4 linked regions of the Arabidopsis thaliana genome follow. The protein of the gene in region 4 interacts with the protein of the main gene of each other region in a pairwise test. Each region holds a gene or a part of one and is shown on either strand. Other genes may lie near its edges.

Region 1 (7,222 bases), on a different chromosome or scaffold from region 4:
AAAGCCTGTCTCTTATGTAAAAAATTCATGTCCTCATTCCCTTTTGCCAAACTAGCATATTTCCTACTTTCCATTAGGAAATTATTGCTCTCTATACAACCCAATATTTCAATATATATTTATCATATCTTTGAAATATCCTTATGACTCTCTTTTTGTTTAATGCCTTTCCTCTTGAAAATATCTTCCTAAACACTTTGAGACGTGCATACTCTTTCATATACAGATCGATTTAAAGAAAAATAATCTTAGCAAACGACATTTCCAAATTAAGGGCCTGACTGGTTTAAACACAGCGGATGCGGTTGCGATTGCGGGAGTTTGCGGAAACGGACGGTTGCGGTTTTAAGCGTTATCAAGAGTTTTGAACGACTGGTTGAGCGTTTGATAATGGGTGCGTTTGCGGGGTTTGACTGGTAAACCAGCGGATGCGATAGTAATTAAATAAAAAATAACCAAAATAAATATAATATATTACTATTAAAAGAAATAAAAATACAATATATTATGATAAATTTATAATATTAGAAAATTTGATTTTCTGACCAAATAAAAATACAATATATCATCTCGTCCGACCAAATGATTTCTAATCGAGAAAACAAATCGAAACATGTATTCAATCAAAAAACTCAAAAGAATACAAAATAAAATAAAAACAACGATGCTATGAAATAGTTAAAGAATTACACTAGGTAATGAATGAATAAAAGGATAGATGATACTTATGTTTGATTCTTGATTTTGATTTTCATCGGATGCCATAATTGAGACAATACGATTACAATATATTGATTAAGGTTTTCTAATAAAAATCAGATATATAAAAGATTAGATTATTTTAATTATAGTAATTAGAGTTTGGATGGAAGCCACAATTATTTAATTTAATTAAAAAATGATATTTTTTTTTAACCTAACCGCTACCGCTCGCAACCGCAAACGATTGCGGAAAAGAGTTTTTGAAAAACGGGCGATTTCGAGCGGTCCAAAACGATATCTAACGATTTCTATGATTGGTGTCAATCGCTAACAAGCGTTTGCGGGTGGTAAAGGGAGAACCAATCAAGCCCTAAGTCTAATACATTATTTTTAACTTTGAGTGTTTTCGAGCAGCCTCTCTATTTTCAATTTTCCATTTTTTGAATATCCAGGCGCTACATGTATCGGAAATGCTCCCATTCGATCAAAGCCAATCGCTTTAACCTTGCAATCTATTGCACAAACTTCACAAACTCATACCTTTTCAATCAATCGTTTTGTTTTAGAATTGAACGAACAAGAACACAACACTTTGCGTGTTCCAAATGATCAAAGATACATCTCGCAAAGCTTTGCCTATCAATCCACTATCAAACGTGATCTTTATATTCAAAATCAAAACCCGAATTGTTTAATCAGCTTCACTTGATTTTAACCGGCCAATTCCTTCGGTTAATTTCCCAATTCAATCTCGAACCGAATCCCACCTCTTTCTCAATTCATGTCCCACCTCAAATCTTCTCGTCTACGACACTAGTCTAGGGCAAACTTCACAATCGACACTAACAGTAAATTGCTACAGCGGAAGCGATTCTTCCTTTGTATACTCAATTTCTTTAAAGCTTAATCAAAATCACTCTCTCTTCCTTCAAATTCTCCAGAGACCTTGGGCTCCAAGTTACGGTACGATCATATCTCTTTATGCCAAATGAATCTTCGGGTTTTTTCCCCAATATTTTGTTGCGATTTTACTGTACAATCAATTCAAATGTAAATTAGAATTTTTTTAGCAAATTCGTAGATTGCAGCGTTTTCTGTCTCCATTAGCAAACATGGCAGAACCCAAAACGAAGAAGACATCAACATCATCGATAACCCCAGACTGGTCTGAGCTCCCTGAGGAGCTACTGTATCTTGAAGTATCTAGGGGACAACTGTTTCGATGTTGTTCATGCTCGCTCTGTTTGCAGCTTGTGGCGATCCACATTTCCTTTGTCTCCCTTGTTACGCCCAAGTTACTCTCTTCCCTCGTTCAACGAATTCCCTTCAGAAAGCAAAAACATGTGCACCCTCGAGAAGGTCCATCTCCTGATATTGCTGATGATCAGCTTTCCGATGCTCTTCAATGTTTAGTGAACGTGAAGATCCCAGCATCTATTCCAAAAAAGATCATCCCTTTGGGCCATAAGTACAGAATGATCGGTTGGGAATATAATCGCGCGACTTTTCTTCGGCTAGACAAGGAGGGAAGAAGAGGAGAATTTGTTGTGCTTCTCGAAGTCTCTGACACTTTGCTGGTGTTAACAAGTGCTGAAATGAGGTGGAAGCAGCTTGAGAACGTCCCATATACTATATGCGTTGATATAGTCACTTTTAGAGGCAGATTTTATGCACTTTTTCTTTCAGGACAAATCGTCGTTATCGATCCTTATTCGCTGGAGGTGACTCTTCTGTTGTCCTCACCTCAGGACCCGCGAGAATTACGGTCTCTGGTTCCATATGGCAAAGATGAACTTTTCCTGGTTGAGGTAATCATCCCAAATGATGTTGTAATAGACTTTAGTCGGTTAGCTCGTAGAGTGAGGAGGGTAGATGAGAAGGCTGGTAAATGGGTTGAGGTCGGTGATTTGGGAGACTGTGTATTGTTACTTGGAAATCTCTCTTGCTCGGCTAAGGAATTTCCTCGGGGTTTTGGTTTGACTGAGAACGCAGTTTTGTTCGGCGATCAGTCAGGCAATGCATTTTTATACTATAAACAAAGTGCGGTAAAAGATCTCAAGGGAGAATCGTGTGATGATACTCAACCATTTTTTCCGGTTATGGCTCTCCATGAAGACTGCTAGGCAGTAAAATCCTGCTTTAGAGAAATAAAAACATAAATTCCTATCATATTTTTAGGTATGGATTTTGTGATATCTCATGTTACCCATTGTTGGATCACTGGTATTTAATGTTGAAGTTAAATCTCAGTTCTGAGTTCTTATAACTTTTTTTCGTCATCATGATCTTTTTGAACAATTTGACACTGTCCAAAACTGAAACGTTTAGCCACGATATAGAAACTCTTTTCTTGGTCACTGATCTTTTATTGTGTGCTGCCTTGTGCAGTTTAAAAATCTTGCTACTTGAATGGAACTGGCGCTTGATGACGACGATATGGACTAAATGTAGGAAAACTACATTGCTTTTGACCGTGTAGCTCCCGAAGACTTCCTCAATAAAGCAATGGCTGATTACTCTAGCTCGTTGATATTTCCCTGGAGTCTTTGATTTTTCTCGACGTTTAAGTTAGCTTTTCCATCTTTTTAACATATTATACCGATGTCATTTTGAATGAGAATATAGCTTTTAAGTGGAATAGAGAGGGTAGACATTTGTTTTTTCAAAGTGATGAAAAGAAGTGAACTAGATTCTTTAAAGATCAGAGCATATCCACTGTGGTAGCTCACATACTAATACTGTTACGCCAGAACTTTCCCAGAGAGTGTCAATGAGAAAAGAAAATTCCTTCCAAAAGCTAAAGCTAAGTTCTTGAAATCATCTTTAAAGGAAAATGAAACTTACTTCTATAGTTAGCCTAGGGAGTTTCATTGATGGGGTTACCAAGCTCTGTGTTATTTCATTAATGTTGCGTACTAGCGTTTATTAACCGTTCCAAAAACAAGAACTCACATCACTTTACGAGTTCCTAAGATTCAAACCGATCGAAGATACCTCTTGGCAAATCAGTATCAAAAATATTCTTGGGTACAGAGGAGAGAAACAAGAGTACAAAACAATCAACAGAACGAAGAAAAGAAACATAACAACAACATAATGCAAAAACGACGTCATCTCAAGTCTATCCGAAAACCAAAGTCTTAACCGGCTCATTTGATATAAACCGTCTCAATCCCTTCGGTTCTTTGCTTTCCCAATCAATCCAACCCCAAACCAAATTCGCTCTAAATCTTAACTAGTCTCTATCCCCATTTGTCGACGCTACGAAAGGGCTCTGAAGAATCTGCAGGAAGCTCCAACTTTTTCTCCAAGTTACGGTACTACTACGACCTATCTCTTTAATCCCTGCGAATATTCTATAATGAACTGTGAATTTTCTGTTACCAACTTTTAGTTTTTCCTGTGGCAAATTGATCAAACCCAGAATTGATTATGACCTTTGGAGCTTCAGTGAAATCAATTTTTTCCTGTTGGGTTTTATTTTCCAAGAATGAACTGAGAATTTTCTAAAAATGGAAGAGTTGGATCGTTTCAGCAATTTCATCAAACCCCTAAAAAAAAGTTGTAAATTTTCGAAATTGCAGCAGTAAATTTCTGTGTTCTTCAGCAGCAAGCATGGCAATGAAAAAGAAGATATCAACATCATCGATAATGCCAGACTGGTCTCAGCTCCCTGAAGAGCTACTTCACATTATCTCAACGCATCTAGAGGATCACTATTTCGATGCTGTTCATGCCCGCTCTGTTTGCCGCTCATGGCGATCCACATTTCCATTTCCTTCTTCTCTATTACGCCAAAGTTACTCTCTTCCCGCTTTCCCTTTAGAAAGCAAAGACTTGTGCTGCACCCTGGAGAAGGTCCCTTTGTTCCTCTTTAGAGTTCTAACTCCTCCTGATGCTGCTGATGCTTCCTCCGAATATTTTCTGGGAGGATTAGGCCAAGATAAGTCAAATGATCATGTGGAGCTTCCATCTCCTCTTCAGTGCTCAGTGAAAGTCAATGTTCCAGGAACTGAGCCAATTTTGATGAACATGCTTGACTGCCAGATCATCCCTCTGGGCCATAAGTACAGATTGATGATCGGTTGCAATCCTGAAGAATACAGTGCAGCTTTTCTTCCGCTAAACGAACAAGGAGGAGGAGGCGAATTCGTTGCGCTCCTCGACTGCACTGATTTGTTTTTGGTGTTAAGAAGTACTGAAATGAGATGGATTCGGCTTGAGAAACCCTCAACTGCTTCATGTAAGGAGTTATTCACTTTTAGAGGAAGGTTCTATGCAACTTTCTTTAATGGGGACACGTTCGTTATCGATCCTTCTTCGCTGGAAGCGACTCCCCTAACACCTCATATCGACTCCAACTTTCTGGTTCCATCTGGCAATGAGGAGCTTTTCCTGGTTAAGACAGACTTCCTAAGATGTAGAGTAAGTAGGCTAGATGAGGAGGCTGCTGAATGGGTTGAGGTCAGCGATTTGGGAGACCGTGTTTTGTTTCTTGGTGGACACCTGGGGAATTTCTACTGCTCCGCTAAGGAGCTTCCTCATGGTTGTGGTTTGACTGGGGACTCGATTTTGTTCACCGTTGGGTCACGCAATGTAACTTACCCCTATAAATATGGAGTACATACAAATAAAAGAAAGGCTGAAGACAATATCAATTGTTGGAGATCCTCAAGGGAGAATCGTGTGTTGTTCCGCAACAGATATGATCCGGTCCTGTCTTTCCGGGTTGAACGCTAGGCCGCAAATTCTCACTTCAGACTGTTATTCTGTTTTTATTAGATCAAAGGCTATGTTTTCCTTTGATTTTAAGTCTAGATTTTGTGTACTTGAAAACTCGAACTATACATGATCTCTAGCAAATGTGCAATGGTCTATTGTAGTTAGTCTAGAAAGATTTGTTGGTAACCAGCTATGTTCTTATCAAACTTGTTGCAGGCATAGCAGCAATGTCGTCCCCTTATGCCATACCCTCATACAACTACTATTCTTGCTTTTATTCTGTTAAGAGCTTTTTGATCGTTGTATATTGCTACTACATTTTGGTTTGAAGTAGTGGTGCATGTGTTGCATAGTCCGTAGGTAAAACTGGTCCGAAAGCGGTAAACAGGATCACTTCGTTGTTAGTTTGTATCCTTGGGATAGTGAAGATCTTGACAGTTGGTACGTTTGAGTTTTGTATCAAATTTAAGCCTTTTCTGTGATTCAGGGAAGCTTTCAAGAAAGAAGGTGATAATCAGGAAAACTACATTGCTTTTGACTACTCGAGCTGATTGTACTTGCCTTGAGGGAGTCTTTGATTTTCTCAACGGTTAGGTAAGCTTTTCCATCTTTTTTTTTAACATATCAGATTTCCAATATTCTTGAATGAGAATATAGCTTTTAAGAATGGAAATGGAACAGAGAGGGTAGAGACTGATTTTGCAAAGTGATGGTAAGAAGTGAACTAGATTCTTTAAAGGTCAGAGCTTATCCAATGTGGTAGCTCACATTGTTATGCCACAAACTTTCCCGGAAAGTGTAAATGAGAAAAGAAAATTCCTTCCAAAAACTAAAAGCTAAAATCTTGAATCTTTAAGGAAAAGCGAAATGAAGATATAAACTTTAACTGCCCCCAAAAGACAGTAGCAGTTGCAACCACTCACATGTACTAAGGTAACGAATCCTCAAAAAACCTTAAAGAAGCTGAGGTTGAGATTTTGGACCACCATGGAAACAGCTTAGTAAGTCTAACGAGAATAAAATAAAACACAGCTAATACTAAGAACTCTGTATCGAGTGAAGACCTGGCTATCGTTGATCGGTGTAAGAGACATAAAATCGTATAAAATCGATATCATTTCTTAGTAAGAAGCAACACTTTCTTTGTATAGAACAAAACTAAGATCATCAGTCTATTGCTATAGTTGTCTTTGTCTATTGCTATTCTTTTCTCTGTAGTTTTCTAAGGACTCTATTAAAACAAGCAAACTAAACGTGAACAAAAGCAAACCAGAGTATTAAGGTAGTGAATTATATGATCGGACAAGGCGGAGTCTCCCAGACATCAAACACATTCTCCTCGCTATGCAATGCAAAAAGGCGGTCGCCACCAATGGAGAAATCACAGATTGAGCCACCATAGCTTCTTCTTAGCCTAGAAGTTAAGACCCAGTCTGGTCCACAGAACACAGAGATAGAATCATTCATTGATGAGAAAAGCTGGCCTTCATGCAAAGCTAGTTTCGGGTAACAAGGCTCATCAGGCATCTTACTCTTCATCAGTTTACTTCTCGAACTCCACCTCACGCTTCCTCCATACATCCTCAGATCAATAAACCCCAAATCCTCAAACTCATTCACCACACAAATCGAATTGCTATCTTCCATAGCTATTGCATCTCTCACTCTCTTCTCGTCTATCGCCATAGGAGACCCAATATCCGACCATGACCAAACCATGTTCTTGTCCCGAAAATCCAACAAACTAATGTAACAGTTGTCCTTTCTTGGAAACAATGTAGCCACAAGAAGACAGTTC
Region 2 (6,992 bases), on a different chromosome or scaffold from region 4:
AGACTATGGAAGATCTTCTCGTTTTGGCTAAACGGATCTTCCCTGTACTGTAACAGGGTCAACACCGCCTTTTGAGGTTGGTGTCCGAGCTTTCCGCCCAGCTTTCTTCGATCGTATGCCACGAACTATGTCTTAGATACGTAAGGGCCCCTGTCCAAGTTTGGCTTTCTTAGTACATTGCCTTTGTACTGGAAGCTGGATCATACGAACCAGCAATGACCTGAAGCTTTCTTGCAGCAAGATGATCAGTCCGAGAGTGCTGGGCATTCATCTCTAGCTTTTACAATGGTTATTTCATTCGCCGGATATTCACCAAAAGAAAGTGCTCGCTAGCCGTAAGCGGAATGACTTTCTTGATATGGACCGATCGAAGCCCTTAAGGATAGCTTACTATGGTAAATAGCTAGACCCCGAACCTATTCCCAGTTTCCGAGTAACTATCATTGGTCAATTTCCTGTTTCCCATGGTCTATCATTGGTCCGGTCCTTCAGAGGCAGGAGAAGTACAAGATGCAAGCTCATAAACGAGACGGTAGGATGGCGCTAATGCCAGGCGATCATTAGACTTCGGTTAATGGAAAGTGGAACTTAGAAATAGCTTCTTAAGAAAGAGATATATAGTAGTGCTTCCCCCTCCTTAGAATGGTAATGGTTCGTTCTTCGCCAGGATCATCTCCAGGTAGTGCTGCTCCGTCTTCGCCTTGACCTTGTGCTGGCCGCTTTTGTACAGCATGAAGGGGGGAAGGTTCCGTCTCTGTTTTATCTTTTGCTGCGAACTTTTTTTTCCTCTGTTCTCTGTACAGCACACTGCTGCTTTTTCTCGGTACTCCTCTGCTTTCTCTAGCACAGTGCTGGGTTACTCCTTCCTAACTCTCCTAACTGTTATCCTCCTCTGTGCTCTACCTGAAGCACACTCCTCTCTCTGTGCTGGTATACTCCTAACTCTTAATAGTACGCACACACGTAACTCTTAATAGTACGCACACACGAAAGTGAAAGTAAAGGGATTGTCTGGCCCTGCTACCTAGCCAACATGAGCACACCCAGCTGTATTTCCTAGATTTAGGTTTGATTACTTTTCTCGGTATAGCAGCGCTACTACGCTTCGCTCACACTCTCTCGACCAATGCTGCCTTCTCTAACAACTCTCAGGGAGACTAAAGAACTGAAGGCTTCGGAGCCTAGCCTCTAACTCAGGTGACAGGCCAGAGAAGAACTTCCTAGCTAGAGTCAACTCGCTTCAGGTGCCTGCCAAATATACCTGCGGGCTTAGTTGAACCTCCTGATGTAGACCTTAACAGAGTAGCTAAACTGATCCAATCATCATCCCAGTGATTAGGCTAACTACATTCCTTTTTTTCGAAAGAGAAAGAAGTCAAAGGCGTTCCTCTCCTATTAGTCGAGTAGTAGGCGTTCCTCTCCGAGTAAGAGACTGAGCCGGCTACCTTACTTCGTCTGGAACAGGAACAGCTAACAACAGTACGAAGAGTATGACCGCTGACCTTCTGTGGAAAGAAAGAAAAGATATTGATTCTACGGGTTCCTCCTATGAGATAGGAGAAGCTGGGTTCCTCCTACCTACTTGAACAGATAACTAACTACACCTACTGGACTGGCTACTCTGCTTCTAAGGGCGGCGTAGCCAGATACAAGGGTTAACAACAGATACAATAGTTCCCATCCGAACAAAGAGAGGAGGAGATTATTAACTGACAGCAGAACGCAGATCGTACTTAGCTACACATGATAACTCAGCCAGGGACCTACGGACAACAGATGAACTCTTCATGCTACTTATTCCCAGAGAACAAAGAAAGGAAGTGGAAGCTGCACAGCGGGAAGCAGACACAACCCAGAAACAATACCTGCAAGACGGAGAGGGGGAACTTAGTGATATAAAGTGGTAGACCCCTTCTCCTATCCCACGTATCAACGGGAGGACTGCTTCGCCTACTTCACGCCTACTCATACACATTCCGCCCAGAAGAAGGAAGACTCTTTTACCGCAGCAGCAAGGGATCCCGGGCCCCGCCATGCATGAACAGGGGTTCCTCCACTGGAAGCAACCAACTGGTTATTCATGGCTAGTCCGAACGAAGAGAAGGGAGATTCTTTCACAAATATGCCATGTCGCTTACGCTCCTCGCCCAGAATATACAGCTGCAAGTGCTGGTTCAGCTACAACGGTAACTAGAGGAAGAAGCCCTAGTATGCACGCACCTTAGGAACACTCTAGCTACATTCACATTATTCCCTGGACCGGAACATTCATAAGATATTGACTAAAGACAGCTGAGCAACAAGCAACCCTTAACCGCTCACACGGCTTACCCGTCGTCGTCGACAAGCTCGCTTCCCGGGTAATCCTAACATGAGCTACACTTCATGACAGAACTCACTGGAACAAAGAAGAGCAGACTAGTAAGGGACCAACAGGGAACTTCTAGACAATACTTACATATTCCAGCCTATACTAACACATATTCTAGGAAATGACAGGACTGGCAACAACCGAAGTGCCAACACCCGATACACCGCTAGAGAGAAGTATCCACTAGCAGAGAACCACAGGGAAGACATCTAGCTACTTCTTCCACATTACAGACGATACTAAGATATTGACTCATTCCAGTATGACAACCGGAGGCAACAACTGAACTAAGATATTGACTCCAGTATGCCAGCTACACCTTCTACACTGGAAGCAAGGAAGTAGGAACTAGTCAAGACCCTAGGGAAACATCTAGCATCTTCTACCCCTTCCCGGAAACTTTCTTAATAAGGTCAAATCTGTGCAGTGTAAGCTTGATCTCTTTGAATTGGGTATTCCCCCAACCTGTCAAACAAAGAAAGCTAGTATAGGCATGAAAACAGCTTGCTTAGAGAGCTTGCCTTCCCCTTACAGGCAAGCTTTAACTTCCCTTCCTAACGAGCCAACAAGTTAGAGATGTAAAGACGGTTCCTTACCAGGAGTCAATCCCACAAGAATCCTAGCTTGATTGGTTTGATGTAAGCGAATGCGAGTACAGGGAAACGAGACAGCTCACAACAAAGCTTAGGCTCACTTCTGACCGAAAGTCCAATTCAATCATTTAAAGCTCACTGAGCACTTCTTTCCTTAGTTTGAGGACGTTAATGAGTTTCAAAGGATAATAGCTGATCTAGAAAACCTGAAAGTCTCTATATCAGACGAGGATCAATACTGATGTCCTTACCAAAACATAATTCAATTCAATTCAACAGCAAAAGAAGGATAGCTTGATCCTCAATGCCTTTGATCATCTTTTTCTAGGTAGGGAATTGCTTATCTCGGTAAGCTAAGAATGTTAGAAACAAAGAACTAGGACAGAACGGGAAATGGAGAAGGAGGTTAGAATCAAAGAACAGTAAATGGAGAAGGAGGTTAATGTGTATTTCATTCTATCTACATTTTAACTAATTGAGTGTATCCAGTCTTATCCATTAATGTAATTACAAGAAGAATAGTACCAAGCATGTAGGTTATAGTTTTCACTTTACTGGGTGAAGGTTTCTGTAGTTCAAGTGGGTCAAAAGTGGTTTGCGGAAACATATCTCTAATAATTCGATTGAGAGGCTCCTCGCACTCACATGGACTTAAACTTTTGTGTATTATACAAACATGATTCACATACACATCTCGTGTATATTGCAATACATTTGGTAAATTATCTGAAAATAATAATGAAGGTTTCTTCAAAAGAGGTCCAGGAGCTATTTCCATTAACACTGTTATACTGAACAGTATACAAAAGAAGACTGCAGTGCGAGAATTTATGGAGGATGATAATGCATTTGAGATATTCTTCTGAACACTTTCATATCTTTTATGTAAAACATTTTTGATGAGAAAATCACCAGTAGTATCCAAACACTTTAATCCAGATGATGGGAAAATGCTTTGTTTAAACCTACTACGAAGTATGCTTAATACTTCATTATTACCAGTTGATCCATATGGTGATGTGAAATCTAAGTTTAGGTTTTTGATATAACTATGAAGTATATTAGGTAGTATTACTTTCTCTGTTGAGTTTGTACCACTGGTCTGATGTCTCAATTTCTCTCGCGTTAGGATATGAATTGGATTTTCTGTGGAACTGTTGACCAGTGGTCCTCTAAATAAAGGAGATTTCATTTTCATATCTAAATTCACCAATATGTATAGAGCACCACTGGTCAGAAGTAAGAAAGATAATATATATGTCTATTGGTTAAATCAATTCTGGCGAGAGATCAAATTCAGATTACTGTTCAATTATTTGAGTTCAGTCTAATTTTCGACCTAACAAGAGCAACGGAATCACGCTCTGTAGGATTTGAACCTACGACATTGGGTTTTGGAGACCCACGTTCTACCGAACTGAACTAAGAGCGCTTTCTTATCACAATTGATAAGACTGTAAAGACGAGGATTCTTTTTTTTTTTATAACCCCAATAAATTTTCCACGCCTATATTATCATATATAATATGAGAAATTGAAAGATTATCTATGTCCAATTTGAATCGATTACCAAGCCATGTCCCCTCATGCTATATGAGACTGAACTCTCAGTTTGTATATGTGGAAAGAGACCTAAGAGAACTGAAACTGACTTCTAACCTAGGCTCTTACTCTCTTATTTTGACTTCTTTCCTTCTTTTCCCGTAGGATCTCCCAAGAAAAAGCCAATATCCTGAGAGTGATCTATAAATTCCCACGAAGGCCAATCAGCATCACTAAAACAAGAGCAAGTTGAGAGGAAGGTGTCAAGTGCAGACAATTCAGAGAAGATATCTCAACAATCTTTTGAAAGCGTTTAATAGGAAGGAATAGAAACTTTAATCTAAACCTTCTTTTCTATCTAAGGTCTCATCAGAAATTGTGAAAGTTCACTGAGTAAGCTATGTCAGGTCTGGTTATGCTAGCAACCACCAAGAATGCTCTAGCTACGATAGAGATGAGGATTAGCAGCAAAGTGGAACTTACAACAGCAGAGCAGACAAAGAGGACCCAGAAGTGACTATGGGAGAAGGGAGAGGTTATTTCCATGCCAGCCTTGACCAATAGATCAGTAATGTTTTGAGAAAGATAGAAGCAGAAGTTCTACTCACTTTTTGACCAAGATTGAGCCAGATACTTTATAGAAAAGATGGCATTTTTGATGCATACTATGTCATCAATATGAAGAGGATTGGACCATGTGATTCTAAGATCATCAACATATACTAGAATGTACAGAGCATGATCACCGCTCAGAAAGAGAGAGAGAGAAAGAGACCGTAATGTCTGAGAGAAAGGAGAGATTGAAAACGGAAGCAAGCGGAGGGATAGGAGAAGAGAGAAGAGAGATTGTAGCGATTTACTGTATCTGAGTGCAACACAAACAATACTAAGACCAAGATCTTCCGACTTCTTTTTCCAATGTATCTTTGTTGAAGATGAATCTCAAACAACAAAACTAAGGGATATGGCATTCATTTGAAAATGAACTAACTAATACTGCTTCCAATCAACATATTTCGATTTCAAACCACGAATCCCCCCAACACAGCAATCCAAACTTGACACAACTGGAACCTCACATTCCAAACCCAAATTAGCATTCGAATAACCAGATTTATATATTTTCCCATCAGCTCAACATCAGAGGAATATTAAGGGAATAGTGAAGGGGATCTTATACCTGAAGCTGTTTCCAAGGAGATCCACGCCATGGACCAGTTTCCTGATATGTATAGAAGACAATCCCCTGAAACCAAGTAATCCGCGAAGAGTCCTCAGTCTCCATGGCCATCTTCACTCTAGTACCAGGAGTCCAGAATATAGCCATGGAAGCCTCAACATCTTCTGCCTTCACCACAAAGTCCGACCATCCAGCCGTAGGATAATAAACCACCTCAAACGGCAAACCCTGAGCTGCTCTATTAATCGCCTCAGAGACAGCTTCAGCCGTCAATTTCCCTTTCCCAGTCCTCCTAAACCCCTTCTTCGCACTTCCGTCGTCTTCCTTAGCAACGCCTCCATTGCTCTGATAATAACTACAGTACTCATCTCCGCCGTAGAAGCTTGTTCCTCCGACGTTACTAGAGATTGGTGCTCGCCTTACACCAATAAACATCTCATCAGCCGATTTCCTCATAAATACAACAGAATCACCAGCGATTAGCTTCTTATTGTTCACGAACTTGCTCCATCCGGTGGTTAACAAGTGCCTCCTCGGTGTGGTTCGACTTGACGAAGAGCCTTTATGCCAACAACAACTGCTTTCGAAGCGGAGCTTTTGAGTGTTTTTTGGGCTGCTGAAAGTTTAAGCACCAACAGGTGAGAGTGGAATTTTAAACTGACTGTAGAGAGGTGGCGGAGGCAATCAACCACAGGTGTGGCCTTTGCATCGGAACCTCCTAAGTCAAATTGATAATTATCTGCCATTGAAGGTTGGTCTGTTACCGTCATTGAAAAAGAAGCGAACAGAGCGGCAACATTGCTCGGAGTGTCGCAAGAGACCGAAGGTACCAGTCCTATATATCTAGTGAGGAACCTCGGTGGTTGGCTGCTGTTCTATTTCATAAAGAGAGGAAACCCTTCGAGGTTGGCCCTAGAGTGAAGTTGTGAAGTTCTCGAACAGACCCTTCCAAAGGTCCGCCCGGTTCAACTTGAGTACTCCATTCGGGGTGATATATAAAGGCTAAAATCGTCAGCAGAATAGCGAGTTTTGAAGCCGGTTGAAGGGGCCTCTGAGACAAGGAAGCCCTTGCTTGAAAGAGTCAACGGAGCAATGGATTATTTTCCGTTACTTATTTTATAATAAAGTCTGATGACCACAACAGGGCTTGTTGAATGGCAGGCTTGACTGGCAATGGAAAGGAGATGGCTCATCCATCTCAGATGATCCTCAATCAAAGACTCCTTCTAGTGGTTCGCTTAAAAGATCTGTACTAAAAACATCCCTCCCTACCGGGAAATCACAAAAAAAGAGTACGCGAAAAAAG
Region 3 (7,300 bases), on a different chromosome or scaffold from region 4:
AAGACCATAGAGACATCCACAAAAGCATGACTACTGTGAAAGCATGTGCCACCATTATCACCTTAGGAAGTCCCCAGACTAATTTCAGCGCTTTCCGTAGGACCAGCATTGTGAAAGGAAGTCTACACATGAACAACTCAAATCATCAGAACTAAAAAGTTGTTGCCATTTGACCATAGGGGTTCAGTCATAGTTCAACCAGTTCAACCTCGGACGCACCTGTCTATAACTGAAATAACATACAAGAACTGCAACAGAGATCCAACAGCGAATGCACCGCCCCAAAAGAACAGTCTGCACCAGAAACATAGTACACTAACTACAGCTAGATAGGTTGTTAAGATGTGAACCGAAACTTTCATCATCTCATTGGCGTAAGAGCCAAGCAGCAATGACCAAACCCAACTGATAAAGACTCCAATGCCACCAGCAACAGCATAGAGAGGCCAGTAATCCTCTGTTAGACCTTTATGATTCTCCAAGAACCCTTGAGTGTACCTATCGATGTTTAACCTATCTGATATTCTAAACCTATTGAGTCCAAGCACCGCGAGCACAAATCCCAAACAAATCAAGTGGATCACAAAGATGGCTGACCAGAATACATCATGCCAATGGCGGGACTCACGCACAACGGCTCGGTTTCCATCTCCACTCCTTCGACTCCGCTGAAGACTCTGCAAATCAAAATGAAAACATTGATTCATTCAAATTACATCATGGACGAGTCTGAGACCTACAAAAAGCTATGCTTTAACATAAGCAACGACTCTGAAACTTCATATCAGTACAATGCAAATACATAAAGTGATCAAACTCACACAAGACACATTTTCTATCAAAAAGAAAAAACTTTGCGACTGACCCGTGATTAAAGTTACAAAGCCAAAGTAACCAATCGCTCTTAACATGTAAGGAACAAATCCAGATATGAGTTCATCAAGATCACACTCGTAAAGGAAATGACTTTATGTTCTAAAAAGCAAAACCCAGAAAGGGATTCTCATAACAACTTCGCTTGTACAGAAATTATAAGAGAAAGAGATTCGTGCCCAGATCGAAATTGAGTAAGGGTGGAGAACCTGGTCGCCGGAGGAGATGGAGGCGTAATCAGAGGAAGGAGAGACGCTGTTAGTGGAGTCACTCATGATGGAGTAAGAAGAGAAGATTCACTCACTGACCAAAACCAAATTTCATGGAAGCATCTTTGAATAAATATCACAAGAGTTGAGAGAGAGAGAAGTGAGGGAGAATAGTCAATGAGAGGAAAAGAAAAGAAACGTGAATCAAAGAAGAAATATGAAAAACGATGAGAGAAGAGAGTGAGGCAAAGAAGTTTTGTCAGAGCGGTTCTTCTTCTTCTTCGTCTTCTTCCTTTTTATTGGATAAGCAGTGGTCGTTTTCAGATCACACTTTCTCCCTCCGTAACTATTCACGTTTTTTTCTTTTTAATTTTCCTATCACAAAATTATTTCTTTTCTTTTTTGGTTCGTTGCTTTATTTCTGTTTGTTATTTGGAAATGGACCTTTAATGCATATAACAGAAAAATTGCATATAGTTTTCTCAAACTTTATGTCAAAGTTTTTATAAATTCACCTACAAGGGAAGTGTGGTAAATGTTTGATATAAATTGTATTATATAATTATGTATTCTTCTTCTTTTTTTTGCTTGGACGTTGTTTAATGTACGTATGAATTGTATACCTCATTATTCAGATATTTAAAAGAACCGGTCAAAATCATCTATTGAATCTACGACTCTTTGTTTTTTCTGTCAACAAATATACCACTATTTTAATTGTGAAAATATTAACAAAAACATTGAATTTTATCCAGGTTTTTTGCTCTTATGGCATAAGTTTTATGTCTAGCATGAAACTGTAAAAGTAAGAGAATGTTTTTGGATGAACAAAGGAGAAAGTAAAAGGTTGACATATAAAAAGGAGAAAGGAAAATAAAGCTTTTTTTTAAGGACAAAATGATTGAACCCATAGCTGCCACTTCATATGTTGTGATGGCAAGTAGTGGCACCATGACTTCGCCACCTCTCTTTGTGCCATGTTTTTTTCTTTCTCTTTTGATAATATAAATCTCTGTGCCATGTTACTCTTTTAAAAAATACTGTTTACATAGAATGATTAGAGTTCATTAAACATATCCAATAGAATATCACCAGAGTTAATTTAGTTTTGTGTAAATTCATCTTCCATAAACATATCACTTTTTTCTTTGTTTCATATCAGTTAGTACTAGGGATTACACTTTCATGATCATAACTCATATAAGAGATTGTATTTTCAATCATTCGTTTCTTGGTTTACAAAGATTTTGTTATTTTGTATCACATCACATATTGTATTTGGGCTTAACTTCTTCGATCACACATTGTATTTGGGCTTTAACTCTCAACACTACGAGTATTCATGCGTCATAGAAAAGAAGGAGTCATTCATTCGTGTGTGATGTGACCTGTAACAAGGCCCCTCAAGATTCATTGTTCTACTCTTTAATCATAAAATTAGCAAAAACAAATTCCATCTTTTTTTTACTCTTTTTCACTCTATGCATTGCAACAACAAGTACAAGAAACAAACACAACCAAACAGTAGTACAGTACTCTAACTTAACATTACTATCTTTTAAGTGACTTTTCCTTTTCATTGTAACTCAAATATATTTATAGAAAAAACAGCTTAGCATTTTTGTTTTTTTTGATGAAAACAGCTTAGCATTTATTAGACGAGAATCCAATGAGAGAATTTGCCAAATCGAAAGTGACACGTGTCCCTTGTTGCTGCACGTTTCCGATAATCGCTAGTGAACTCGCCGTCGGTGCAAATGCCAAACAAAATGTCCCCACCGAGTCAACCGGAATCATGTAGTTCTTCGCCGGCAAAGCCAACATCTTCCCGCCGGGGAAATGAAAAGCCACGGTCGGGACTTCTACCGTCGTCTTAGCCGAAAGGTTATAACACGTGTCAAACATCGCCACCCCGGCTGCTTTTTCCAAGTCCAACGTTCCTTTCACGAACGAGTCTCTAAGCGAGTTATAGATTTCGGTCTGGAGACGAGTCACGGCGGTTCCTGAGTCGATGATGATCCCACCGCTGCCTGACTCGTCCATCTCGAAAGAAGACTGAGGAATCTGAAGCAACTCGCCGCCGACGCTTATTCCGGTGAGGCCTAGGTAGTAAAACGTGTCGAGCTGGTGGTTACGTAGCAACGGAGCCACGACGGCGTCAGGAGAAAGAGAAGTCCCGAAATCCACGGTCGAAGCCGAGTCTGAGTCACGGTCAACGAGACAGTACGAGAACGACGTCGTGTTGAGCTGCGACGGAAGAGCTAACAAACCACCGCCGAGTCCAAGTAAACCGGCGGCGCCGACGAACAACCCTTCGTTGCTGTGTCCACAACCAACGGCGACGTTTTGAACTAGAGTTGAGCCGATTGTGAGAGTCTCGGTGGCGAAATCTCCAACGGTGTAAGAACCATCACCGTAAGAAACCTCGTAAAGACACGTGGCGTTTCTACATTCTGAGACTTCAAGGGCATTGCACTGTGGAGTGTCACAAGAGAGAGGCTCGTAAGAAGAAGACGACGATGGCTCGAAGATTGGTTCGGTTTGGTGGTAACAGTCAGCGCAAGGAGTACATTGTAGCCAGTTCACGTCACTTCCAGTATCTAGAACCATATAAACTTCACGCGCCGGTTTTCCGATACCGACGCGTGTGAAGTACTCGCCACTTCCTTGAGTCGTGCCGGAGATTAAAGGAGCTTCGATATCTTGTTCCTCAGTGGTGTACATTGTGCTGATGGGTTTGAGATCTGCTTTGGATATGTTGTTGATGGCTAGATCTAAACGGGTTATGAGAGATTTGACTCGGGCTGTGTCACGGTTGAGTCTGGCTAGTGTGAGTGACTTATAGTCTGAGTGTTCAGTTCCTCGGACGGAAACTCGTGAATGAAGCTGCAAGCTGAAAGAAGAAGAAGCAGAGTGAGTCTGTTCTTCTTGCTGGTTTAACCGAAACGACGACGTATACTTGGTTCTGTGGATGGAGTCAGCGACATTGAGAATTGAGGTAGTGGTTGTGGAGGTCTCTGGTAAGATTCTGGAGAAAACAGAAGAGTGTGAAGTGAGGAAGAAGATGAAGAAGAAGAAGGAGTAGTTAGGAGACATTTTTTAGATTCCGACCGTTAACAGTGAAGAAGATGAAGTGAATGAGGTTTATTAAAGAGAAGACAAAAGTGTGTTTGGTGGGGAAGGGAAAATGAGACAAAAGCTTCTTTTAATTAAAACAAAGACAAGCTGTGTTTTGGGGGTTTGCAGATTTCGAGGAGATTTATATAAGTAAGTATCTCTTCTTGAAGAATTAATCCAAAGATTAGATAAATGGTTAAAGAGGAAGAGGAGGTTTCTTCATCCTCTTTAAGTGTGAGGATTTAAATAAACTTGTTTTATGATCTCAATGCGGTTAGTGTGGAGATTGTTGTTTTAGATTTTATTAAGTCAGCCACTTTTGAGTGTTTCACATCTTCGCACTTTGACAAATTTTATTTGGCTATGAGCTTAGCTTTGTTAATGATGACTTTCATTCAAATTATAACAGCTCACTTATTTCATTTTATCCAGACCTATGTCTATAAAGCTATATGATACTAAACAATTAACCTAAAAAGAAAGCTATAACTGTAAACCAATACATACATACGCAATCTGACAACAACAAAAAAACATACATATGCATATCATGTTAAGGTATTAACAATGTGGAGGAATTTGCTGACTTAAAAATGGTGAATTTATGGTCCCTCATGGGCCTGTGGGTAACTCTTATCTAGGCTTTTAACTTGGATGTTTGGGCCATTTCATACCCCAAGTCTACTACATTAACTCATTAACCTTGCTGCCTAAATCTAAACTATAAATTCTAAAATACACTTCTAATCTCAGCTTAACATGATATGCAGTTGAGATAGATAGAATATTGCCACCTGATTTTAGTTATTCATCAATTTTAGAATTAAATAAATTAATATTAATATAAGTACAGTTGGATCAAATCAAATATAATTACATACGTTTGCGAATCAATTCGCCACCAATCAGAAATCGGTCAATTTTTTTTTATTTGTATAAAATAGTAGGATAAAACGAAATAAAATTTAGTTGAGATAAGCGAAAAATACTAAAATACCCAATCAGTTTTGAGCATCTCTCAAAAACTTACGTGTTATACTATTCTAAACGTTACGTCTCAATCGTGATCGCGACAAGTTAGTTATCAAAGAAGTAAAAGTCTTTATTGTTTTGCTCGAGCAAGTGACGCAAGTCGCAAACAACAACACAAGGGAACAAATTAACATCTTCTAAACTCAAGTTGGGTTTTCTGGGTCCCACACATTAAAATCGTTGGTTGTTATCAATCCACGTGGTAAGATCTTAAGGGTTAAAGAATCAGAATCAAATTCACCTACAATCCCCAAAAAAAAAGGATTCATCTTTTAGCTCTTCAGCGAATGTTCGTCTCGTCTATTTGCTCTCTCTCGACGACTGTTAATTAACTCCGGCGATTGATCACTCCGTCTTCTTTGTAACACAGCCGGAGAAAAATCGAAAGTTTCGTTTTTTTCTTCTCCTTCGTAGCTAATTCGCCGTCGATTTTATAATTCGGCAGCCATGAGCTCGGTTTTGCAGGTAGAGTAAAAGATTAATGTTTTCTGGGGAGTAAACTCGTAAGAATCGTTGTGGAGCTAATCTGGGTTTATGATTGTTGGGGTTTTATAGGGTTTTACGAAGTCACTTGCTATGACCTTTGTATCGGAGATTGGTGACAAGACGTTTTTCGCTGCAGCAGTAAGTGTTTCGTCTCCTCTTCGCTTTAGTTTTAGATTTTGTTGCTTCATGTAATCTATTGAGGGTTTAAGGTCGATGAAGTCAATGGCTTTTACATGAATCGAAGTCTAAAGTCTTACTTATTGGATTGCCTTTTCCTGATTAAGAATCTAGATGGCATCTTTGGATCCTTTGTCTGTAGCTTTTATATTGCCATTCAGTTTCATAGTGTTTTGGTAGTTTAGAATCTGCCACAGGCTCTTTGAAGGTGTGTAAGATACTTCTGTTGTTATCTTGATTTTGCAAGCTTAAACTCTTTTTTTTTTTTGTCATATCAGATTTTGGCTATGCGTTATCCTAGGAGACTTGTGTTGGCTGGTTGTTTATCGGCTCTGATTGTAAGTTTTTCTGAATGCTTTGACCTATTGGTTTCAGTGACCTCTCTCCATAGATTTTGAAGCTTATGTCTTTGTTTAATTCTTAGGTTATGACTATCCTCTCTGCTACTCTTGGATGGGCTGCTCCTAATCTGGTATGGCTTCAACTTATTTTGTATTTCTACATAAGCCTTTTTTTCTTACTAAATAGTAAATACTGATTCAAACCCTCACCTTCAGATCTCTCGCAAATGGACTCATCACATAACAACATTGTTGTTCTTTGGTTTTGGGCTATGGTCTTTGTGGGACGGTTTCAAAGAAGGAGGAGGGTAATACTTCTTCATCATATTTTGTTGTCATAAGGATGATTTAATCCAAGATATTCAGATTATCTGACTTTGTTGGCAGGGGTTCGGAAGAATTGGCTGAAGTCGAAGCAGAACTGGTTTGTTTCTTCTTTCTGCATGTTCGCTCTCACGTTTAGATAAATGCTTTTGTGGCTTGACGTTCTTGTGTTTTAATTATAGGATGCTGATTTGAAGGCTAATGGTAAATCTCCAAAAGACAGTAGTAAGGTATTGAACCAAAACGACAAGATCAGAGACTGCAAGTGGAAATTGCCTGTGCTAAGTTTTCAAATCATTTGTTGTCCTTGTAGAGAGAAGATGAAAACAAAAAGCAGAATAGGGCGTTCCTCACGCAATTTTTCTCTCCAATTTTTCTCAAGGTAACTAAAACAGAATTTGCTCACAAAAGCAGTAGACTTTTCTGAACTAACTTCATATTTCCCCTCTCTACTTGCAGGCTTTTTCGATTAATTTCTTTGGAGAATGGGGTGACAAGAGTCAGGTAACTTTTACTTACTCGAATTGATTCAATCTTAAATGCTTCACATACTCACCATAACTCTCTTGTCTAGCTTGCTACAATTGGTTTAGCTGCAGATGAAAATCCATTTGGGGTGGTCCTTGGTGGAGTTGTGTAAGTTTCACTGCAAAACTGCTACAATCATTTTGTGTCTGCATCACAAAAGTAATATGTTTGAAGCGACGTTACTGACTAAATAGTATGCCTATACAGGGCACA
Region 4 (9,769 bases):
CCTGATAGAATCAGGCAAGCTGTTAACCCTGACTTTAAACTCATCAAACTCACGCTTAACCCGTCTACGATCCTTCACGAAATCAGACTTCACTTTGTTCTTGTAAGGATCTCTCTTTAAGCTAAAGTAGGAATCAGGATTCCTCGGCTCGATCGCATGTTTACGACAAAAAGGAACCCAAATGTTGGCAAAGCTAGCAGCTTCAGCCATTGCTTCAAACGTAAGAAGCGCCCCTCCATCATCAGATACATAGCAAGAAAGCTTCTCAACAGGATATTCCGCAGCAAGAATAGATAAAATGGTATTAGCAGTGACCAGAGGAGGTTCTTTCTCCGGATCCGCAGTAGAGACAAAGACATCGAATCCAGGAAGGTCGGATTTGCCGGTCGGGTTGCTGGCTGTCGGTGTTTCAAACTTTTCCTTCAAGACTTGAAGATCGGTGGCACGATTAATCGGGCATAGCTTAGGGAGCTGATCAAGAAGCCAAGACAAGGCAAACCATAGCTCACAAACCACAGACATTCCCCATAACCATACAGCGTCTGGGTTTTGATGTTTAACCCTCCAAGTCAAGAACAATGCAAGAACAACTATACGGATAAATATCAAAAGCCTGCATAGAAAGAAAAAAGAACTCTTTTAACATGTTTAGGTTTCGTAAAGTTAAACAATAACAACAAACAATAGACTTGTCTATTTTTATACCTGTATGGACTAATAACACCAGCAGGAATTTTCAGCTTCCGAGTAAGCGGTCTCCACGGTCTGCTCATCAAATCTTGGGCCTCCATACCCATACCGTCACCATCTCCATCTCCATCCTTACCGCTCCCGAAATCCCCGTCCTTTGTCCAAAAAGCATTCCCATAACCATAAGTTCCAGTCGTCTCAAATAACCACCTGTTGTGATCAAAATCTCCAGTCTGACTCCTCATCAAAGCTGATTTATTAGTTGACTTCACCATCGACAATCTTCTCTCCATCTTTGACCCGCCACCCCCAGGCAGCATAGGCCTTTGCTGACCGTTTTCATCAACCTGATCGGTCAAATGCGTGTTCTTGTACGGTTCTTTACACCCGGGGCAAATCCCACCTCCGGTTTTGACAGCATCTATGAAGCAATCCCTACAAATTTTAAAGTCACATTCACAAGGAAGAAGGTCTTGACCTCTCTCATCGCTCATAACCTTAGCATCACAGCCAGGGATCGCGCAAGACGATCCTTTAGAGCCAGCCATTTGTGGATGGTTAGGCTCTGTCTCAATAACTTTGTGCATAAGGTGAGCCCTGGTGTTGCTCTTGAAACCGCCAGTGAACATGGAGTTAGCGACATATTGCTCCTCAACTTTCTGAGAAATGGAAGGGTCCATTGGCTGGTTATCTGGAGTGGGAGGAATGTGAACTGTATAGCTCATGAAATCTTGACCGCCCAACTCGCTATCAAGATCGTCCCTCGAGTAATTGATATAGCGACCCGAGGAAGTTCTTTGAGCAAATTTGACAGAGTGACCAGCAGGTGGCCTTCCAGGCTCCTGAATATCAGAGTTGTTTGATAGATTTGATCGACTTTTATCAAAATGCTTATTAGATGCCATAGTTAGGATCTAACTTGGCAGATCCCTGCAGAAAGAAGTCAAAGACAAAATTAGCAAAAGAAGAAACAAAGACATCTTAAATTCATTCAAAAACATCAACAAAGAAACAGATCAATATATATATATCGATCTAACAACAAACTCATCATCAACATTCACACAAATGAAAAGAAAAGGTAACAATCATTGCTTACTACAACAAAAAGGCACCACCTTTAAAGTTATCAAGACGAATACACTAATTCAAAGTTTCAAACTTTCAAATCCGAGAATATCTCGAAAAGCCCACACATCTTTCTTTAAGCACAGGCTTTAGACATTTTCAGACAAAAAGAGACGATCCCACCACGAACTTATAAGAAAACAATAAAACAAGATTTGAAACTCGAGATTGCTTACAATACCTTCAGAGGAAAGGAACGCTAAGAAGAGAGAAGAAACTCAGATCTTTGAGTTATATAGTAATTAACAGAAGAAGAAGTAGAGACTTTGTTGTTAACAAATCCGTCTGAAGTATTCAACGCGGTCGTGTCGTGCCACCCAACTGGATATTATTATGAGGCATTTGATAAGAAGAGATAGTGAAAGGAAGAAGAAGAGGAGAAAAGGACTTAGTCGTGAGCAAATACTTGAGCACTCCTGCTAACTAATACACGTTAGCCGATTTATCCCCAAAATATATATTCAAAGATCTTAAAATATATATAAAACAAAGAAATTGCCAAATTTTGTAGAATCGAGACGACAAATCAAGAAGGAAGATCTCTACGATCTATTTCGAAATTTTTACTAAGGTAGAAAATTTTATGACGCGGTGAGACAGCGAAGACGAAGGTGGAACGCCGCCGGAAAAAACAAGTTGACGTAGTACACTTTTTTTTTTTTTTCTTGAAACGTTTTAATTGATTTGGGGGGGGGACTGAGGTTTTTCGGACAAGGTAGAGAAGAAAGTAAGAACAACTCTTTTTAACTCTTGTGGTCTTATTTATCTTTTAACGCGTTAAATATTGTTTCCATTTTTTTTCTCTTTCTTGAATAGGGATACCGAAAATTTACTTACCATAGAAGATTAAAGAAATCTCTAATTTATTTGATCTCAGTTCAGTGATTTACAAGTGTTTATAGCAAACAGATACTGTAGAATCCAAGTTTTGAAAATAACTCAAGTGAATTTGAATTTTCTCGGGAAGTCGCAAGTTAAAAATATAATGGCATTAAGAAATGTAAGATTACGAAATCCTCTTATAATAAAGGGGAAATGGTTGTGATTAATGTCATTAATATATCGTTGTTTAGATTAATGTCATTAATATATCATGTTAGTATAAAGCAATTTTGTTTTTGGTATTTTGCAGAATAAAATATGGGAAAATAAAAAAGAATGTCGTAGGGAGGCGTTAATCTCGGGTATCAAAAAACGTGTAAGCACACTGAAAGAGACGATGAGGGTACTTTGGGGAATTTCAAAATAAGGAATGGGAATACGCGGTCGCAGGAGTATTTCTCACCTGTGAATACAAAATGTTTCTTTTTGGAATAATGAGATAACGTGTTACGTGTGTACGTAGCATTGATCAAAAATGTCAATATTTCATATCTATGGGAGTAACTACTACTAACCACGAATAATTCTCATTATACACGTAATAATGTCCCTGTCAACATTAATATTAAATATCTGACATATAGTATTTAATTTGTTGTTATTTTTGAAAATTTATGTGATGAGTGAATATTAATCCACGCTATTACACAAAACGAACCAACAACACACCCCATCGCAGACCAATATTATCAGCGGATCACGTCAAGCGGATCGGATTTGAAAACATCAATTGACTTAATTTGATTTATTATGTTTTGTTTGCAAGACACAAAACGAGAAATACATTTGGTCACAGATCAGAGATCACCACCGTGCATTTGGAGTCATTCCCGAACCAAAACTCTAGTCTTGGTCGTCCTAGGAACTTTTCGAGTCTATGACTTGGTTCAATCCTGTCCTCAGTCTCAGGTTTTCAGATTTGATACACTGTTTAAGCTCCTGAACAACATGTGACATGTCTGGTCTTGCAACCGGAGATGGATCCACACACGACATCGCTAGTTTAAGAGCTTTCCGCACAGAACCAGAATCATACTCGCCAATGAGGTTAGGATCAACAATGGTGCTAATATCACTTCTTGTAAGCATAGTCCTTACACGTTCTGCGATGTGTCGATTTTCGTTAGCTTGCTCAAGTACGGGTTGATTTGTGATTATCTCCAATAACACGATCCCAAAACTATAGACATCACTCTTTTCGGTCAAGCGATATGTTCTGTAATACCTACACAGACAATACATAACAAATCATGTTTCTTTAACCACTCGGAAATTATATTTGGAATGCACCCTGTTCTATATTGATGCTTACTCAGGATCTAAGTATCCAGGAGTGCCTACAACACCAGTCGACACATGGCTTTCCTCTCCAACAGAAAAAGATCTAGACAGTCCGAAATCCGCTAGTTTAGCTTGGAAGTGCTCATCCAACAGTATATTCATGCTTTTGACATCTCTGTGAACCATTAGTGGTTTGCATCCACTATGCAAGTACTCCAATCCTATATTGAAAGTTTCATTTATGTTTAACGTATCATCATAAGTTTGTAGGAGGGGAATTTACAAGGGGGATAAAATTGGACAAAATCAACTTCTTGAGAGGCTTTTTAGTATTGAAAACAGATTAGTTATGGAATGGACGAAATAACACTAACCTAGTGCGGTTTCAACAGCTATGCTTAATCTGTTTTCCCATTTTAAAACACAGTCCCCATGTTTTCCTGTAATAACCAGGAGATACATGTCTAATGAAGATAAGATGTTACTGTATAATTACCTGTCAAAACCACCAAACCATATTATTCATGTCTACCTGAAAGATGCGATTTTAAGTCTCCATTAGCCATGTACTCGTAGATGAGGGCTAAGTGTGCTTGTTCATCACAATATCCAACAAGGCTTACCAAATTTATGTGGTGAACTCTAAGGAGAAGTTCAACCTATCAACCATAAGGAAATCCATTCATCAATGATTATTTGAATCTCAAGGAGAAGCCATAATACCTTTGTAGTCAATTCCATGTTCAAAGTTTGTAGTAAAATCACCTCTGCTTTGAATTCTTTATAGCCTTGAGATGAGGACGGAGAGAGCACTTTAACAGCCACTTGCTCACTATCATTCAAATAACCATGATAGACGACCCCAAACCCTCCTTCACCAATAACTCTTTCAAAGTTATTTGTCATCAACAATATCTCTGAATATGTGATCCTTCGTTTTTTATTTTCCAGAGATAAATTAGCCCGTGACGGATGTAGAGCTGCATAAAAACATCAAGTAAAATATATAGCTAAATAACTTCTAGTAGCTTTTATTCCTGTTTTCTTATAATGTAACATATTTTCTTTATTAACATTACCTCTTATACTTGATGGCCTTTTCTTTATGAAAACAATAATGAGAACCAAAACAGCTATAAAAATGGCTATTGCAGCAGCAACAGGTGCTATGACTGTGGTTTCTTTATTTCCACTTGAACTGTTACACGGACCTGTGGCGCAAAGCTTTGGATTTCCTTCAAACCTACAGAATAAATAGAAATCATCTAAGGGCACAAGTAATAGTTGAAAGAATGTTACGTTTGAAGATCTTACTCCAACTTCAGATTTTTTCGGTCAAGAAGCGCTTGAGGAATGGAACCAACAAGATTGTTATTGCTTAGGTTTCTGTCATGGAAAAAGCTATTATCTCATGAAAATGCAAAGAATTTAGAGAAAACAGAAAGAGATAAGTTCACTTGTTTGAGGACTTACATGAACAACAGTGACTTCATGTTGGCTAGAAACTCAGGCACACCTCCGGTCAACTTGTTATTCGACAAGTCCCTACAGTTATGTTTATTAAATACGGAAAAGAAAAACAAATCACACTACTCTATATCCAATGAAGAAATTGAAATCTGCCTAATCATAGTCATTCATGTGTGAGGATGCAGAAACAAGGTTACATAGAAATAGTTTGTTGAAAAAACAGCGACTGATTTTATATTGGTAATGCAGATGTGCAGCCACATGTGCAGGAAATGATACTAGAAATTAAAAATAAACATCCAAAATTCTTGGTATATATAGTCAATAGAAGTACAAAAACCATACTAAACTTGAAAAACCTATTGATGCTCAAACAGCGCAGTTATTAGAGGCCATACTTACAGTTTCTGTAGCTGGGTCAGATTTTGTATATCTGGCACTATTTTCCCAGTTAATTTATGTGAGGACAGGTCTCTGGTCACATAACACATTTTAGCAGTAAGAAATCTAGAAACGTAACTAATTTATAACAACAATATCACACTTTTAAGTGCTTACAAGGAAATGATTCTTGGTGACGTAGACATGTTCATGTAGCTGCAGTTTAGGCCAGTCCACAAAAACTGCTGGGGAAGACACGGATCTCCTTGCCAGTCGACTCTGCTCAGTTCATAGGTAGCTTGGATAACCTTGATAGATATAACTGTCATAGAGTTAAAGATATACCATACTTAAAACATATTAAAAACAAGAATTAGGTAATATGTTCAAAACAAATTATTTCTTGTGGTTGATACTATGATGATTCCTCTTGATTAATTCTCGCATGAACTAATTTACATAACCTCATCATCATCACTCATGTCTCGTATGTGGACTACTGTTAGATAAAGTGCAATAATTTGGTTCACATTAACTTGCTTTACCATCTGTAGAAAATTAATATGATACTACAGAAAACTGGTCGAGCTAATGGAATAGCATTCCATATAATAGTTTGAGGCATATATCCCAAAATTTTAGTAAAAGTAGTTGAGATATATACGTACGTACCATCATCAGGATTTGTTTCAGAATGTGGAAACTTGATTGCAGTGAATGCCTCCATAGCATTAACCAGAGGTACACGTACTCCCGGAGACGCTTCGCTGCGTACCAGCTGCAAACTGCAGTTACCGCCATCGCATTTGTTCACCACAGTCTCTACAGTACTTACAGCCAAGTCTAAAGGAGTAATACTCTCATCATAACTAATCTTTCCATTCACCACAAAGTAAAAGGTCCTTGTAAATAAAGTTCTCAAGGCCTCGTCAGTGTTTTCCCCAACAGGTTCAAGCTCGGCAAAGTGAACATACAGGTGAATTTGCTCATCAGGGTTATCCAAAGTCCAAATAATGGTCAATCGCGTTCCATTGTCTCCAGGTGTGGCAGCTGATGTTAATGCTGCTTTTGGTGGCTCGTAGTTGTTAGAGTTATTCACATCTAAACTGGTAGTTATCTGCGTCCATTCCGGTAAGAAGAATGGGGACCAAACACGATCATAGACATCGTCAGGATACCTGCGGACATCAGAAAACACATCTACATGGATTGATAAACCATGCATCACTAATTCACCAGTTCACAAACAACTGGTCTATGAAAGACATTACGATCATTAAAAACAATTTCAATACGTCTATTATATAAGTCAAAGTTCATTGGTAAGAGCATTAATAGGAAACTTCCTGATGTTGGTCAGACATTTGAAGGTTTCTTGTATTGTCTTCATGCATCTATATATTGCTAAGTTTAGGGAAATTTTGTATATCAACATCAAATTACAGATTATGATATAGTGCAACACTTACCGGATTAACCGATCTGACTGTCTATAGTACCTCCGAAATAAATGCTTCAAGGAAACGTCTTGGACAACATAAGTATCGTTTCTCAAAAGCCTCAGTTCCAGGGCGGATATGAACGGCAAAGAATTACCTGTCTTGACAAGACAAATCTGCAGAGAGTTTGAACTTGGTATGTGAATAATCTCTTCAACACTGCCATTGACCTTTCCTTCCAAGTCAACTCTTACCCACTTATTAGGACCTAGATACAGATCAAAACTCGGATAATCATTATAACCATCGTAATTTCCATACACAAACACAGCTTTGATCATGTATCTTCGGTTCTGAAGGACATCTAGAGTATAGCAATTTCGTAGCCCATCTGGAAAGTATCTCAGAAACAAATACGGCTTTATGTGTACTGCTTCCAGATTCTTCTGGATTCTACCGCTTATTCCACTAGGGATGTGATCCGCATCCGATGAGAATACTAATCCGGTTACCGGTTCAATATATGGAGGCTCGTTACTCGGCAACCCGCAATCCAAACTGATGAATCCTGGTGAGAGGAAATATAGTTATGAATGATTGACTTTCATCCACGAAATATTGCTTTAGGTTAATCAGTAAACAGACAAAAGACGTGTGCAACAATGCAATAAAATGTGGTTACCTTGTTGAGCCTGAACATAATGTATAATGGCAAATATGAAAAAAAGATAACGATGACGATCCTCCATTTCTGCTACCTCAAAGAACCGCCAGTGTTCTGGTATATGAAGAAGTGCCTATGATCAACTCCTCTGATGGAGACTAATAAAAAACAGTTTTGTGAGGTCAACAATTAAAAGTGCCACCAAAGATATCTGAATCAAAATACATAAATAAAAGTAGCTCAAAATATTTTCTAACTCAACTTGAAAAACTTTAATGTTTGTAGATAATTTCTACAGGCTGGTGGTGAAAAATTCACCCATGTCTATATCATCTGCTAATACTTAAAACGTCGCAAGGGAATAAAATAACAAGCAGACAATGAGAGACCTTTAAATGACGTGAAGAGGACATACACAATTGTATAAAATGTTAGTTTCATAATATTTCCACGTAGCTAAAAGTAGCCAAGTTGCGAAGATGAACAGGAATTACATTATATAAAATAGCAAACAATGTTAAAATTGAATAGGATACACATTCCACAGTATATATCTAGGGTATTCAAGACTGGAATGTGAAGTCAGAGTGATCGGTCTTAAGACAAGAGAGAACTCAAAGAATTGGAGGCTGTAGAGTTGGATCTCCAGCAATCGCATCTGCAAATACTCCTAGATCCTTTCACGACCCGCTGTGACCTCCTCGTGTGAAGCTTGATATTCACCAGCTTTCCGGCTATCTGTCAACGCAACAAACACATCAAGATTTTCTGAATCTTAGATTTCGACATTGCAGTAAGTTCTTCTCACTGACTGATCAAAGATCAAGGCAAATACTTAATTAGACGATTAATGGATAAGCCGAACACACATGGTGCTGAACAATCAGGATAATTAAGGAAGAGACCTTGCCATTGTACAACACAAAAGGTGAAGTTTTTATACTCTGTTTTTTTTCACAATATCAAAATTAAGTTACCACATGTACATTCTGTCAGATATTATTAAGCTTTTGATTTCTTTTCCATCTTAGTTATAGAAAGGTATGTAAGTTTTGTAGGTACATACCATTCTCCATGTCAAGTCCTCTGGACCTAATGGCTGAGCAGGGCTCGAATATAGGAAATGGCGAGAGTACTGGAAAAGTTTAAAACAACCATATTACTTAATATATATAAAGATCCACTGCCCAAGTAAGGTTGCTATGCCCTTTCGTGTAAGGCGAACTATGCATTTTGTAACATCAAAGTTAGTGATAAGGAAAACTAAGTACTTACTTGAGCAAGATTATTCTGCAACCCCTTGACTTGGAAGGGCGTAAGACTTCTCAGATGGTTTACAAGCCACCCTGGCTGTATTGCATCACTGGAAGAAACAAGCACAGCAACCTGAAAGGTAAACAAAAGCAAAAGAAAAGAGAGCGAACAGTCATACAAACTTTGCTTCATATCTAAACTAATTCAGACAAAAAATGGTTATAATTCAGAGCACCAATGTAATACGTTTTCTAGCATACCTTCTTGTAATCAAGTATTCCTTCAAAAGGAAATTCCAACTCGTCACTGACTATAACAGGTATACAGCCACTGACAATGGCATCAAACAACCTCGCTGAAGATGGTGTGTCACCAGCAGGACACAAACAGAATAAAGATCTGATAGAAAGGCAGAAATAGTTAGAGAAAGTTGAAAGAAAAACTAAATGTGCTGCAACCAAATGGGTCAAGGAGCCACCCAATATACCTACGCATGCCACGTTGCGCTGCCAATTTTCCTCCCTCTCCGGCAGTCCCCTCAGAAATTATTATATCCTTGATACCACTTAATTCTGCACCA

The links.
Region 1: the proteins of AT5G16900 (region 4) and AT2G24250 interact in a protein complementation assay, tested with the Arabidopsis thaliana proteins (one large-scale study listed by BioGRID).
Region 2: the proteins of AT5G16900 (region 4) and AT2G07678 interact in a protein complementation assay, tested with the Arabidopsis thaliana proteins (one large-scale study listed by BioGRID).
Region 3: the proteins of AT5G16900 (region 4) and AT1G25510 interact in a protein complementation assay, tested with the Arabidopsis thaliana proteins (one large-scale study listed by BioGRID).

Annotation. Positions count from the first base shown.
Region 1 is NC_003071.7:10,311,656-10,318,877, reverse strand, and holds AT2G24250 (LOW protein: F-box/kelch-repeat protein (DUF295)), read left to right. Parts: upstream 1-3,897; 5' UTR 3,898-4,019; intron 4,020-4,286; 5' UTR 4,287-4,317; coding exon 4,318-5,442; 3' UTR 5,443-5,812; downstream 5,813-7,222. Other genes in the region: AT2G24255 (LOW protein: F-box/kelch-repeat protein), read left to right, coding at 1,815-2,825; AT2G24240 (BTB/POZ domain with WD40/YVTN repeat-like protein), read right to left, coding at 6,715-7,222.
Region 2 is NC_003071.7:3,278,267-3,285,258, reverse strand, and holds AT2G07678 (uncharacterized protein), read right to left. Parts: upstream 4,163-6,992; coding exon 3,425-4,162; 3' UTR 2,130-3,424; downstream 1-2,129. Other genes in the region: AT2G07625 (uncharacterized protein), read left to right, coding at 643-651, 804-930, 1,094-1,161; AT2G07669 (uncharacterized protein), read right to left, coding at 1,706-2,035.
Region 3 is NC_003070.9:8,956,646-8,963,945, forward strand, and holds AT1G25510 (Eukaryotic aspartyl protease family protein), read right to left. Parts: upstream 4,539-7,300; 5' UTR 4,179-4,538; coding exon 2,727-4,178; 3' UTR 2,442-2,726; downstream 1-2,441. Other genes in the region: AT1G25500 (Plasma-membrane choline transporter family protein), read right to left, coding at 1-122, 220-677, 1,083-1,148; AT1G25520 (Uncharacterized protein family (UPF0016)), read left to right, coding at 5,679-5,696, 5,787-5,855, 6,173-6,232, 6,319-6,366, 6,452-6,543, 6,623-6,659, 6,742-6,789, 6,873-6,941 and 3 more.
Region 4 is NC_003076.8:5,553,505-5,563,273, reverse strand, and holds AT5G16900 (Leucine-rich repeat protein kinase family protein), read right to left. Parts: upstream 8,218-9,769; 5' UTR 8,198-8,217; intron 8,094-8,197; 5' UTR 8,021-8,093; coding exon 7,954-8,020; intron 7,840-7,953; coding exon 7,302-7,839; intron 7,172-7,301; exon of another isoform or gene 7,058-7,171; coding exon of another isoform or gene 7,011-7,057; coding exon 6,505-7,010; intron 6,155-6,504; coding exon 6,010-6,154; intron 5,926-6,009; coding exon 5,854-5,925; intron 5,527-5,853; coding exon 5,455-5,526; intron 5,368-5,454; coding exon 5,296-5,367; intron 5,225-5,295; coding exon 5,061-5,224; intron 4,962-5,060; coding exon 4,747-4,961; intron 4,641-4,746; coding exon 4,514-4,640; coding exon of another isoform or gene 4,481-4,513; exon of another isoform or gene 4,422-4,480; coding exon 4,356-4,421; intron 4,203-4,355; coding exon 4,013-4,202; intron 3,926-4,012; coding exon 3,559-3,925; 3' UTR 3,334-3,558; downstream 1-3,333. Other genes in the region: CSLD2 (cellulose-synthase like D2), read right to left, coding at 1-613, 706-1,595; AT5G16890 (Exostosin family protein), read right to left, coding at 8,533-8,673, 9,002-9,070, 9,211-9,321, 9,450-9,588, 9,677-9,769.